2 linked regions of the Mytilus edulis genome follow. The protein of the gene in region 2 interacts with the protein of the main gene of each other region in a biochemical or structural test. Links are inferred from orthologs where the notes say so. Each region holds a gene or a part of one and is shown on either strand. Other genes may lie near its edges.

Region 1 (7,779 bases), on a different chromosome or scaffold from region 2:
CACTGCCTTGTAACACAGACAAACAGACCTGGAGACAGATCTGATATTAAACAGTGTTATATTTTTTGCAATGGGTCCCACATGCAATGGTTATTATGGTGTCACTTCCTATATATCAAATGACATCATTGTTGGGCAAGTGACGTCACAGACATCAAGCTGTCAGATTTCCTGACACAGGAAATGCAACCTTAAAAAACTACCAACAGCAAGAGGGTAAAATACACCTTATCGCTATTTGTCCGCCATTACTGGCCATCATACAGGTTTTCCAGTAAATGTTGACGTCATAATACAAAATAACTGACACCACACTAGAAAAGTGATTGTTGTGTGAAGTCAATAGTTCAAGTGGTTTTGTTTTGATTGTTTTGATTTTTCCAAGGCATTCGATAAAGTCAGACACAAGAGACTTCTGTACAAAGAAGAGTACTATGTTAAAAACAGGCCAACACTCCAATGGATCAGGGACTTCCTCAGCTCCTGAAATCAGAGAGTCGTTGTGGATAGTAAAACATCTGACACTGCACCAGTCCAATCAGGAGTACCAAACATCTGACACTGCACCAGTCCAATCAGGAGTACCAAACATCTGACACTGCACCAGTCCAATCAGGAGTACCAAACATCTGACACTGCACCAGTCTAATCAGGAGTACCAAACATCTGACACTGCACCAGTCCAATCAGGAGTACCAAACATCTGACACTGCACCAGTCCAATCAGGAGTACCAAACATCTGACACTGCACCAGTCTAATCAGGAGTACCACAGGAGACCACTCATGTTCCTTCATCAACAACCTACCAGACTACATGTATGTTTAGTCATCAACGACCTACCAGACTACATGTATGTTTAGTCATCAACGACCTACCAGACTACATGTAATTTCTCGCTACATTGAAGACCTGTTGGTGACCTTCGGCTGTTGTTTTTTTCTATGGTCTGGTTGTTGTCTCTTTGGCACATTCCCCGTTTCCATTCTCAATTTTATTATTATTATTAGTCATCAACGACCTACCAGACTACATGTATGTTTAGTCATCAACGACCTACCAGACTACATGTATGTTTAGTCATCAACGACCTACCAGACTACATGTATGTTTAGTCATCAACATTTGTCTATTTGCTGATGACTGCGTACTGTACAGCAGGATCCAAAATGATGCCAGTTACTATATACTAGTATACAAGACATGAACAACTTGCTTAGATGGGAATCTGATTAGCAAATGAAATTCCATCCCAGCAAATGCCAACTGCTACGCCTTACCAACAAGTGCAAACCACATCTAACAAGCTACAACATTCATGGGCACAATTTAGAACTGGTTGACTCAGGAAAATATCTAGACGGCACAATCCACAAAACTATTAATTGGAACACCCACATAGAGAGTATATAGCTAAAAAGGCTTATTCAACCAGGTCCTTCATCCAAAGAAATCCTCAGCACTGTCCCCAACAAACAAAAGCTGTATGCTACACAACGCTAGTAAGACCATTGCTTGAGTATGCATGCTCATATAAAAAGAAGATGTGGCATGTTTGGCAATGAGACATGTACAACTATCCACAAGAGACCAAAATGACACAGACATTATCAACTATATGTCACCATACAGCCTTCAACAATGAGCAAACCCCATACTGCATAGTCAGCTATAAAAGGCCCTGATATGACAATGTAAAACAATTAAGACGAGAAAACTAATGGCCTAATTTGTATACAAAAAAGAACGAAAAACAAATATGTAACACATAAACAAACGACAACCATTGAATTACAGGCTCCTGACTTGGGCCAGGCACATGCATAAATAATGTGACGCCGACGGATTAAACATGTTAGCGGGATCCCAACTTTCCCCCATAGTCTGGGACCCGTTCTCCAACCTGAACATACAGAAATTAGAAAGTGTGCATAGAAGATCAGCCCGGTTTGTATTGAGCAACTACCATTATAAACCAGCAATGTAACATCAATGCTAAAAACACTACAGTGGCAACCACTAGCTGAGAGGAGGCCAACTGCAAAGCCATAATGATGTACAGGATAGTAAATGGCCTCGTAGCAATACCAACGCTAGACCTACACACAACATCATCCGTAGCAAGAGGACACACAACATGATGTCTTGTACCGTATGCCAGAACTTCAACATACAGGCATTCCTTCATTCCAGACAGCATATGGATATGGAACAGCCTCCCACAACCTTTGGTGGACAGTACCTCACTAGATTCTTTCAAGCAGGGGGTACTGAGCTGCAGTATCCCTTAATCACACCATCACGGCTTCAGACTGTTTTTAACTTGCACCGGTAAATACTTTCTTGCACCTTTGTTGTCACTCCCAGCATGTGCAAATGTGCTATAATACTCAATTAGAGGACTGCACTGTTTTGGAAGAACAAGAAGAAGCTACAGTTTCTCAGGTCAGCCGGGAATAGCTGATTAGCTGTGAGGTGTATTGGCAGATCTTAATTTCCTAATTTTAAATTTTAAGGAAAAAAAATCTGTAACACTCATACATTAAAGATTATGGATGGATAGGTTAATTGTTATCATTTACATGGTTCTTCATTTCTGTCTCCCAAGCCTATTTCTAGGGTTAAGTTGGAGCTCCTATTGTCAAAGACATCTGAATCATCTGCTAACAGCTCGTCCTGTATTTCTTCTGAATGACAATCATTGCAGTCTAATCTCTTTAAAGGCATTTTTTAAATATTTGAATGACAGCTGCAGCTGCATTATACATGTACTAGTCCATAGTCATATTTTTTTCCTTCTTTGTTTACATTTTTCACAGTTACTTCCGGTTGCAGGAGCGGTCACTTTGAACAAATATCTATTTTTACAGAAGGGAGAAAAATCAAGACTTTTGAAATCAGATAAAAATACAAATAGGTCTTATTTACTTTTTGAATATAATTTAACATATTTTTATACGACAAAATCCGTTATAACCAATCAAATTCGAAAAAGTATCCTTGCAAGATGGCGTCGACTGTTGCCAAAGCTCAAACATTCTTTTGTGAAAACCAATATAAGTCTGTCATACAACTATTAAATGATCAGAGAAAGGCACGACGGTTCTGTGATGTGATTTTGCGAGTTGGAAAAGAACAATTCTATGCACATTCAAATGTACTAGCAGCAACCAGCCCTTATTTCGGTGCGTTCTTAGGACAGGGTCAGGATCACCCGAGGGCATTTTCACAGAAAATCCCACAAGTTATCGAAATACACATTGACGGTGATTGTGATAACCAAGGATTTACAACGGCCGTGTCGTTAGTACTTGATTATATGTACACCAGCAACATCACATTAGACTCTGATTGCCTCGTTCAGGTTGTAGAAATTGCAAAAATTATGCAAATAGAAAAAGTTTTGGAATTTTGCAATACATTTGAATCTGGCAATCAATTAGATGCCGACATATCAATAGCTAAAACTACACCTGTTCAAACTCAGACAGAACCGCAATTTACATTTTTAGACAATAAATCTGTTCAGACATGTGATATTGACTTAGTTTTTGACATGTGGTGCAAAAAAAAGCAAGTTCGAAATCTTGAACATTTTAATGTAGACTATGTAGAGAAAATCGAGGGTCCAAAAGTGAAAGATTGTAAAATACAAGCAGCAGAAAAATACAAGAAACTTATTAAAAAATCAGGCGCATTTCTTATGGACAGGAAAAAGGATGGCAAGAAAAATATTTCATTACTTGGAGTAACACACAGAAAAAGAGGCCGCCCACCACTACCAGAAAATGCTAAACTTAATGCCCTTATTGAACAAAAGCAAATGAAAAGAAAAGGTGAAACTGATAAGGTAGAAGAAAATCCAACAGCAAAAGCACCTGAATCAAATCACAAGCACATCCATGAAGAAAGTCATGAAGATACAAATTGTAAACGCATAAAATTAGAAAATACTGAAACATTGAAAAACAGAAAAGGAACTTACATTGAACAGACAGAGGGCAGATTTCCTTCACGAAAAAATAGAGGAAAGAAACCATCAAAATTTTTAGATGATGCTGAATCAGATTCTGATGCTCTTGTGGTTGATGAAACAGGGGATGAATCTTCCCAAAATCAGCCAAAGCTTGAAAATATATGGCACAACTGCGATGAATGTCCATATTCTACAAACTCGTCATATCAATATAATAGACATACTAAAGCTCATCAGAATGATAGAGACCGTCTTGAAGGAAGTGATATTAAAGAATATAAATGTGATCGCTGTGATTTTTCATCTTACAAATACAAAGTTTTACAAACACACATTCAAGAACATCTACATGCTGAAAATATTTGCAGTTTTTGTGATTTTGAAGCAGAAAATTCAGACTCACTGCTTGAACACATCCTAATTCATAAACCACCCAATCCGTTTCATTGTATTTATTGTGACAGCAAATATAAAACTCGAGCTCAGTTAAATGTCCATCTTCCAAAACATTTAACTGTTAAACCTTTTATCTGTGAAATTTGTCAAACTGGATTCAAGTGGAAACATGCACTTAAATGCCACATGGCCACTCATAGTGAAACAAAAGATCATCTGTGTGATGTTTGTGGATTTGCAACTGCTCACAAAAGTCAATTAAAAGCACATAAACTCATTCATACAGGAGACACATATAAATGTGAATATCCAAATTGTAAATTCCAGTCAATAAAAAAGCAGAGTTTGAAATATCATTTACTAACACATACTCAGGAAAAACCTCATCAATGTGAAATATGTGGGCAAAGTTTTTCATTGAAAAAAAATTTAAACAGACATGCATTACTTCACACTGATGTGCGACCACATAAATGTAAATTTCATGAAGTTTGTAACTTTGCAACAACAAGGTATGATAAGTTAAAAGAACATTTGCTCAAAATTCACAGTCATGGAGTGGCACCAAGCAAAAAGTTTAGACTTTCTGATTATCCAAAAAGTTTAGTTCCTCCTGATGAAGAAGAGCCTCCAATGCCTAGCATGCCTAGTGTTATTCATATTGAGAATTCTGATATAAGTTTAGGCCAGATATCATTGAATGATTTAGAGACAAAAGTATACATACAGCAACCTGGAGGAGAATCTGTACCTATCACTCTTGTGGCATCTAAATTTGAAATACCATATCAATTGATAACTAAGCTTGAAAACTAATTGTTACTTGTTACTTGAAGACTTGTATATATATATTAAAATAACATTATTTATGACAAATAATTTTTATATTTCATAAAGTTCTATTTAACATGTTTAATGTAGAATTGAGAGTGGGAATACGGAATGTGTTATAGAGACAACAACTTGACCAATGAGCAATGATGAGCAGAACACAGCCAATGCCACTAATTGGTCTTTGACACATGAAAATTATACCACTCAGAGACGGCTTCAACTGACCTGGTCCATAAACAATAATATTTTAAACTTGTTCAGCAAAAAGGATGCAACACTTATTTCCAAAAAAACATTTAATGAAAAAAAATCCATAAAAAACAAGGTTCCTGACTGTGTACAGGCACTTTGTACATTATATGTTTAATAGATATTCCATACACCTGTGTATGTACAAAATGAAGAGGGTTATTAGGTAAAAGTCAACGAGGTCATGGAGGTGGCAAACTGCTTTGTTACTAAGGTAAACCCATGTTAACTTGTTAATCTTGAATCTCTATGATATCTGTATTGATTGCATAGGTTAAATATCCTGGAGAAAAATCAATCATTAGTCAATTTAGCACATCTCTCAATGACTATTTGAAGATGAAATACTATTTGCCTTAATTTCATGGTTTTATATAGTGTTTTTTTAAACTCTTTTAAAATAGTATGACTTGTCTCCCTTTACTGTACAGATGTAGAAAACAATATAAACAAAAATCAGCTTATCATGGTGGAAACTGAAATTAATCCTTTTATTTGACCTTTTGTATTACATGTACTTATCAAACATGTACAGCAGCTGCATATATGTGTCTGTGTATACTTCTCTTGAATTGGATGAACTATGTTCTTTGTCGGCATGATCAGAGTTTCAATATTAATTTTACTTATACAATAAAGGAATTGTATACCTTTTAATACACACACTGTCACTGTATAAAGATAAGAATTTGTGAAATGATTGCTAGTGAGAAAACTTATTGATTACATACACAGGCCACCTTCAACAATAAGCAAATATCACACAAGCATACCACATGTATGTTTTCTTTAAGCAAATCAACTGATATACTTATTTTCAGAAGTTCATATGCAGAGATCTAGTCATTCTAAAAAGACCCTTTTGGGATGAATCTCAAAACTTATTAACATATTCAGTCAATACCTGTCTGTGAGACTTTTAACTGCACCTTCCAAAGTGGAACAAATGGATGAGTGATCAAGGTAAAAGTTGTGTTATCAAATTGGTCTCTCAGATACAATAAGCAGTAGGCCAACTTCATGTAGTGTATGGAATGATTGTAAGGGGTGCATGTCAGTCTGGCAGGTTAACTCTGACCTTGACCTCATTTTCATTAGTAACAACTAGTCAATATTCGGTTTGTGCTATGCAGGTCTGTCCAACTCACTTCTGGTTCAAATTTTCATGCATTTTTTCCACTGAGCTTAAGTACTTTAAGCAGTAGGTCAGCTATATGTGTTGTAGGAATGATTGTTAGACGAAAATGTCTGTCAGGCTGGCATCATCTGACCCTGACCTTATCTTTAGTGTTCATTGGTCAATGTTATTTTTTTGTGCTTTGGTCTGTTTTTTAATTACCATAAGCAGTAGATCAAACTTTATTTGGTGTATATAATAATTGTAAGGTGTACATGTCTACCAGACAGAATTTATCTGACCTTGATGTCATTGTTATGGATCATTAAAAATGTGAAGTTTATGTGATACTTTAGATCTTTAAGACTTTCAACATAAAACTAATGGTCAATAAAGCAGCCAAGACATTTCGGAGAATGCACCTATTTTTGTCAAGCCTGTGACTTTTGTGGCAGAAAACTCAACATGGTGGCTATGGCTTTAGCTTACATCGTAAAAGCTTTATATTTTAGAGGGTGGAACACCTGGTTGCTTCATACTTTATATATAGATGCCTTATGTAATGAAGTTTCCATCTGTCATATGTCCATTGTCCTTGACCTCATTTTCATGGTTCAGTGACTACTTGAAAAAAAGTTAATTTTTTTTGTAAAGATAATTTCTCTTGAATTACGAGTAATAGGATAATATAAAAAGAAGATGTGATATGATTGCTAATGAGACAACTATCCACACAAGACCAAGATGACACAGACATTAACAACTGTAGGTCACCATATGGCCTTCAACAATGAGCAAAGCCCATACCGCATAGTCTCATTTCAACCAACAGTGAACAAGTTTTGGTGGTTTAGTCCATATCTCAGATATTATAAGCAATAGGTCTAGTATATTTAGTGTTTGGAAGGATTGTAAGTTGCACATGTCCAACGTGCATGTGTCATCTGACCTTAACCTCCTTTCATGGGTCAGTGGTCAAATTTAAGTTTTTGAGTTGAGTACTGTATTAGGAATATACATTCTAAATTTGCTTAAGGCACTTATTTATGGAATTGTAATTTTCCTGAAAATAAAACAAGATCACTAATCAAGTTATGTGTGTGAAAGAGAAAGTTTGCAAATCCTATAGAGATGAACAGATGAAAGTCCTTAATAATAAGATATGGTATGACTGTTACTGATATATCGATCTTTCAGCACTGACTGA
Region 2 (7,318 bases):
AATATCAACACAAATATCTTCCACTGTACAAGCATAATTCAGTAATGGTAAATCCTCAAATAACGGTACTGTTAGGATATCACGGTCATCTCCACTATCCTCCCATTCGTCCAGTACACTGACCAGTCCATTTTCCAAGGTTTCAGCATTGCCAGAGTTGATCAACCTTATAATATTTGTTACATTCACCATATCTATAAATGAAATGTTTGGTCTATTAGTTTTGATAATTGATGATATATTATTGATTAAAATTAACAAACTTATAAATACTGTGGCTTTATTATACTCCGTTTAATACAAATCTTTTGAGTTTTGGGGTATACAGGTGAAAATTTAAATGTTCAATGAATTATAATTGTTCAAAGACTTTGGAAAAACGAAAGTAAATATCCATGAAAACGCAAGTTTTCGTCGAAAATAGATACTCATGAAAACAAACGAAAACTACAGTAGATCTATGCATTAATACATACACTAACAGTGTTTCAGCACAGAACCATAGAGATTAATATCAAGTATGTTACTGAATTTGAAATGTATCCCATCTAATTTTATGGTATATATCTTGTCTTTAAAAACTTTCTATCTAAACTAGCTATTTCTGTTTTCATTAGGAAATTTCATCATTTCAGAATCAATTTCAGAATCTAATGTGTTCTGTAAAATATTCTAACCTCTTTTGATTCCATAACCTCATACTAAACATGCTAAAAGATTTGACTTTCAGGAAATGCATTCTGACCTTGACACAATCTAATCATGCTAATGTTTGGTGTGTTTATTTTAAATATGATTATTTGAAGTGGCCAGCGTACTAAAAGATTTGACTTTCAGGAAATGTATTCTGACCTTGACTAATATCTAATGTGTGGTGTGGTTATTTTACAAATGATTATTTGAAGTGACCAGTGTCCAATGTAACTGATTACAAATGAAAGCCAAGAACAAGTTTCTTTGATAATATGCCAGGCTCTTTGAATCATATGTATGACCGTTCCTCAAAATTTTCAACTGGATTTACATAAATGTTATGTTGTAAAAACATTGAAACAGATTCAAACAGAGAATTATGCTAAAGTTTGATTCTTTAAATGTCCATTGAGGCTTAATTTGTATAGTTGTTTAAAAGTTGATTATATCATGGATGAAAAATCTTTCTTTCTTTATTTCCATATGATTTTAAAGGAGTAGTAAACTATGATGTACTTTACCAAAAATATAAATGTATTACTTAATCATGTTAATTATACATTGTTATAGGGAAAATAATTCTCATATTTCGAAAACACTTTAAAAAATGCATCTAGTGTCATTCAGGTTATAAGTAGGACAGGTGCAATTTACTCATATTTCAAGTTTTCTCAGGATAAAAAAACATAAATATGTAAAAATGAAAATAAGAAAATAAGAAAAGAGGATGAAAGAATTTAAAAATTTAATAATATATATATGAAGTATCTTTAACACTACATTATAACTTTCAGGAAATGAAAATGTCAATTCAAATGAGGTCATTATTGTGGTTTTCTAAGATTCATAACAAATCGAATCAATTTTACATTTAGTTATAAAATGAATCAAACTTACTAACACACCTGCCATAGTTTAAACATGTTAAATTTACAGAAAATCAAGAAAAAACAACAAAACACTAGATAGAAAACTGCAGACTGCAAGCAACATGAACCCTATCCAAAACTGTGGTAACATACCATGTAAACTTATTTGCTCAATGCCTACTTCAAATATTAAGTATAGTTTGTGTTGCATTATAAATCTGGTAAAAATCTACATAGATCAATACAGAAGTCATTGTATATATTTACTTTCATACTCCTTAATTTTTTTTTAGAGTACATCAAAGGTTTACAAAACAGTTTGATGTCTTCAAAAGAAAGTCAAATTGTTTTATAGTATATTATATATATATAGACATCATAGTAGTAACGACAATGTTTTTTTGTTATCTATTTTAAAAACAAACAAAGTATATACCACTCTCAGATAACAACTGAACATACCATAGATCCACTGACTTGCTCTTTTAGTAAATTCTGAATATCTGGCCATTTTCCTTTGGGTAATTCAGTTAGAATATTCATAAAAATTTACAACTTTAGAGAATTTTCTGACTTCAACTTAAGTTTTGATAATGGTACATCTGAGAAAGTTTATAATTGACTTCATGCAATTAATAATCTATATTAATGAGTATATTCCTGCATGCCAATGTTATTCAAACCTGTAAAATAGCTAATAAAGATGAATCTACTTTATCCCTTCAACACACCACCGACGGTTGGTCACATTTTATGTCTTGTTAACATTTTATCAAATATCAATTATCATAAATATTATCGTTGATGTTTATCTGATTATACACATATATATCCCAGTCATATCTTAAGACAAATTAAAAGTTCACATTGTCAGGTTGTCTTAGTAGATTAGGTCAAACTTTGACACTTCATTAGTAATTGTGGTACTATGTATAAAACGGAGAAGAAGTCTTTCAATACAACATCTTTCTGCTTTAATACACATGTATCTATCACATTTCATTATAATCTTTATAACTATAATTTCAATGTCTGTACCAGTATATATAACTCAATCAATAAAAAACTTCTTCTCAAACAATATAAAACTACTTATATAATTCCTTGATTGCTTTTAAATTCCAAAGTCTGAACAGAGCTGCTAATTTTAGATACTATCCTAAAGAAACTAAATCCATGCATCTGCATCAAAACTTGAAAACTGAGTCTATATAAATAAGCACATGTTCCTACTTCCTAGATGTTAATATGATGTTGATTCACATGTATAAAAATATGTATTCCTCTGCAATTAAGTGTAAAAAGTTTACAGCAATACGTACGGCTGTCATTTATATTCTTTATATGTAATATTGTAACAACGAACCACATCGCATGCACAGGTTTCCAAGTTTAAAATAACCTAAGTATTAACACAAATATCTGTCATTTGTGTGTACACATTATAGGAAGACAGATATACTTCCTGAATGAGTTAAATACACATATTTCTAACAGTTGAAGTACTTTATTCAAAGATTGAGATTTAAATCCATTCACCCACATTAAACGGGGGTTTTAGTTTGTAAAGACTCACAGGAAAAAAATGCATTGTGCATGTCCTAATTATTTAACCCATAATGAGTTTACTAATTATTTTATGTGACAGATATTTAGGCATCAGTAATCAAGCTAAAAGTGTACTATTTTTTTCCTTCAATTCAGTAAATTTAGTTTTAATGGGGTTTTTTTATCATTAAACTAGTATACTCTCCTGTATAATTATAGTGTGGTCCTAACATTTTCCACAAACATGTGGAGAACCAAGATATATCGATAAATAGATATCAAATGTCTACAAATTATATAAAAATTATTCTAATGTAAGAAAATATTAATCCTTTATTAATTATTATGAGCTAGAATAATATATAACAGCTCTATATAATATAATATTGTGAAGCACTCTGAAATATTTTGAACCTATTTGCCACAACTACATGCAATAAAATAATATATATAAATCAAAGAGCTGATAGCTCTGAGGTGGAAAAAGGTGAATAAAAGTTTACTTGAATTACCATAAAAGCAGCCCCACTAACCCAGCCTGCTTTGGATTTTTTTCTTCAAACAAGAATGTGTCATAAGTACATGGATTTCCCATCTGTACAATCATTTTCTATGTTCAGTGGACTGTGAAAATTTGGTAAAATCTTTAAAAAACTTCATCAAAAACTACCTCGGCAATAAACCTTAACCTGAAGCAGGACAGACGGACAGACTAAAACATAATGCCCATAATGGGGCATAAAAATAGTAAGACTTGTTACATACCTGCCAACTTTTGAAAGTTCCCATCAGGGTTTTTAGTGCGGGACAACAATTTTAAAGGTTACAATTTTTAGCTAAGTGCACGATCTGGATTGTCTAGAAAAAGTGTCATATTTGTATGATGAACTTACATGCCTTTTTCTTAAGTCTGTTTGCATGATTCTAGTTATTAAATCGTTAGAAAAGATGAACATGTAGCCAGCAGACCAGGGTTTATTTTCTTGTGTAAGAATATTAGATGCTTGTTGAAATTTCCAATTTTGAATTATGCACAAAGATGGACCTTTAACAGGTTGGGAACAACACTCCAAATGAGGGGTAACCCTCATTGGAAGTACATTACAACCCACTGTAAAAAATGAGCACCTTTATATTCATATTATTTGATGAAACTTTTCGCTAAGAACTATGCATCTATCAAGTCTTAATTGGTCAAAACATGTTAAAAAAATTTTGTGATGTTTCTATAAACTTACATCTTTTTTTATTAATTTGAACCCTCATTTCGAAAAGTTGTTCCAAATACAATGAATTTTCCCACTATCTTAAAAATGTTCTTTCTTATTTTTTTCAACAGTAAAATTACACCTTGATTTAGGGACAGTCCCTCATTTGAAGGACACCACTCATAATGGGTGGGGGGGGGGGGTCTTCGTGAAAGAAAAAATAGTATATTGTCCTTTAAATGATTTAATTGAATACAAAAATAAAATATGTTACAACATGTATTATGTCAAAAAATTAGTGTAAAAAATACTATTAATCATCTTTATGGTAGTAATGCATCATTGAATTTTGTCAATCAGCCATGCTTTTATCCTTCAGCTGTGTAAGAACCTGCTTGCAGATGAAAATTCACATGCCATTTTCACGATTTTACAACTAGATGAAAACTACACTCCATACAGCGTTATCGTTCGGGTCATACTTCCCTTTCTCTACAAACAATGTAAAGAAGCGTAGTTAGATGTCACCACTTTTTCAGAGTTTGGATAAAATCAAAACAACACAAGTTCATCGTGAGTAACACAGAATTTGATTGGCTGAACACGTTTGTTTTACAAGGAACACGTTTTTTAGAGGGTTTTTTAACGATACCCTTAATATTAAATTTTTTTAATAAATGCAATGAATTATTATAAACGTCCTTGATAAGAGTAAAAAGAATGAACACAGGGCTGTACGGGCGAAAGAACTCAGGACGAACAGACCAAGGGCAAACATGTAAACAGGGCAAGTTGTCCCGATACCCAATTCAGGCATGTGTACTACAAATATCGACAGTAAAAACATCCGGTTACAAGGAAACAAATGTAGATGGGATGAAATCTAATAATTTACATAAATAAAAGGGTACATATTTACGATTGTGATTGTCTTTCAATCCTAATTTACAAATTAAATGATTCAGATGCTTACTTTATATGTTAAATCGGTGTCAGGAACCGAAATATTTAACGGAATAAATTGTAATATACAGAAACGAATGCAGCATACGGAGAATCAATGATTTTAAGTCAGCACCATTGGCCTTCAGAAGACTTGAAGTCTTCTTCCACCAAAAATTTTCTGGTAAAGCATGTTTGTTGAATTGAAAAAATTTTAACTTATATATGTGTAAAAAATATTTTCCTGCATCAGTTTTTTGTAGCGTCATATTTTGAAATACAACTAAGTATACATTTTTTGTTCTTTAGGGGGCACTAGCTGTCAAATTTGTGTTTACTGATTTGACTCAAATTCTCATATTTGATTTAAAATCATGTGAAAAGGCTAAAATAAACAACTTACAGGGCATGGACTCAATTATATGTAGCTTTGTTTATGTCTATTTTAGTCTATAAGCCATCTAATTAACTATCTAGTTGACCTCCGATAAGCGATATACACATGAATATAGTTATAAATAGATATCAAAATGATGCAATTGGATTTTTCTAAGTCTGTTTAATTTAATTTTATAGATTAAAAATAAATGTTAATCATTGTCTTTACCTGTATGAATGATTTTTTTAATGGATCGAAGCAGTCAATCAAATAATTTACCTTCGTTTTACTTTCAATGTTGACATTCTTTTCCTTTAACTTACTTTACACGCACAGTTCATTTTTATTCATTTCTATCTAAAGGGGTTAAATTGAAGTGATATGAATACAGATTCAATGAAATTGAATTGTTTACTTGCAAGTGAATAATTCATCGTCAATATTTCTTAGCTTATTTCGACAAAATTAAACCAGACTTGCTGCTTAAAGCGAATTATAATTTCATTTTTTCACTTTCCTTAATGATTGAACAAAAAAAATCATATTTTAAGGAGGTAGACCTAGGTGAAGGGAAATAACTCTTAAAATCATCAGTACGTTTGTGTCAACCATTTTCAAAAAACATATTCTAAGCTTCTAGGTTACATAGATTATTTTCAATCTGTTTCAGGTAAATGCTTAAAATACATTGATGAACTTGACTTTTACAAACGCTTAACTGATTTAAAGAGTTATCTCCCTGAACCAAGGTCTACCCCCTTAAATTTTATCTGGTAGCTTGTACCGTTTTAATCATAATTTCTATACATGCATAAATGATTAATTCCACGAGAGTTAATTTTTTGTGGGAAATTATTTTTTTGTAAGAAAGTAATCGATGTTCTTAATAAATTATTTTTCATTGAGATTTTAGTTTGCTTTTACAACATTTATTTTAAGAGGTCAGAATATACAGAGCAGTTGAAAAGCTATGAATCTGAAGAAGCACCAAACAATAGATTGAAGTCCCTACTGAAAGCCTGATACCAAGTTTCAGGAATCTTTGTTTTCAAGTTCCTGAGATAAAAGTGACAAAATTGAACTGGACCTTTATGTTTAGTAAACCCATAAAACATTCCATAGATGATTTGGTGAGAATTAGATTCTAAAATACAATTTCAAGCAATTTTCTGTTTTATCAAGGGGCATAATTCTCAAAAGAAAAAAGTAAAATCAGTCAAATTCAAAAAGATTCTGTGGTTGACAAATTTCAATAGATTTGGTAAATTAAAGCTTACTTTAAGTTTAATACTTAAATAAATCCTTCATAAACAAAAAAAAGGTTATTTCCCATTTTATCAACTATATGATTTCTCTGAAATTCTCTGAAATCATAAAAAGTGAATGAATATAAACTGAATCTACATTATGAACAAAAAATAATCTTTGTCCTGCTAGTTTAATTAAGGGGAATACCTAATGAAAATCAAATGTGAAATTGGTCAAATTCAAAAACAAAATTTCAAATATGAAATGTGAAATGATATAGTAGATGCCTTCTTAAGTTTATGTCTGGAAACCAATAAAATACGGTAAGCTATTTTCTGTTTTATAAAGGGACATAATTCTGAAACTAGAGGCTCTCAAGAGCCTGTGTTGCTCACCTGTTACTGTATTTACTGATGTCGGCCATGTTGGTT

Evidence for each region.
Region 1: the proteins of leucine-rich repeat serine/threonine-protein kinase 1-like (region 2) and sorting nexin-21-like form a complex in vitro, tested with the Homo sapiens proteins (2 studies listed by BioGRID and IntAct, with this or other methods). The link is inferred for Mytilus edulis from reciprocal best matches to the Homo sapiens genes LRRK1 and SNX21.

What each region holds. Positions count from the first base shown.
Region 1 is NC_092348.1:5,570,085-5,577,863, forward strand, and holds the start of sorting nexin-21-like, read right to left. Parts: upstream 3,008-7,779; 5' UTR 2,728-3,007; coding exon 2,583-2,727; intron 1-2,582. Other genes in the region: myoneurin-like, read left to right, coding at 3,008-5,188. UniProt on the Homo sapiens protein: Binds to membranes enriched in phosphatidylinositol 3-phosphate (PtdIns(P3)) and phosphatidylinositol 4,5-bisphosphate. May be involved in several stages of intracellular trafficking.
Region 2 is NC_092347.1:2,554,936-2,562,253, reverse strand, and holds the start of leucine-rich repeat serine/threonine-protein kinase 1-like, read right to left. Parts: upstream 3,015-7,318; 5' UTR 2,934-3,014; coding exon of another isoform or gene 2,885-2,933; 5' UTR 2,074-2,884; coding exon 2,025-2,073; intron 195-2,024; coding exon 1-194.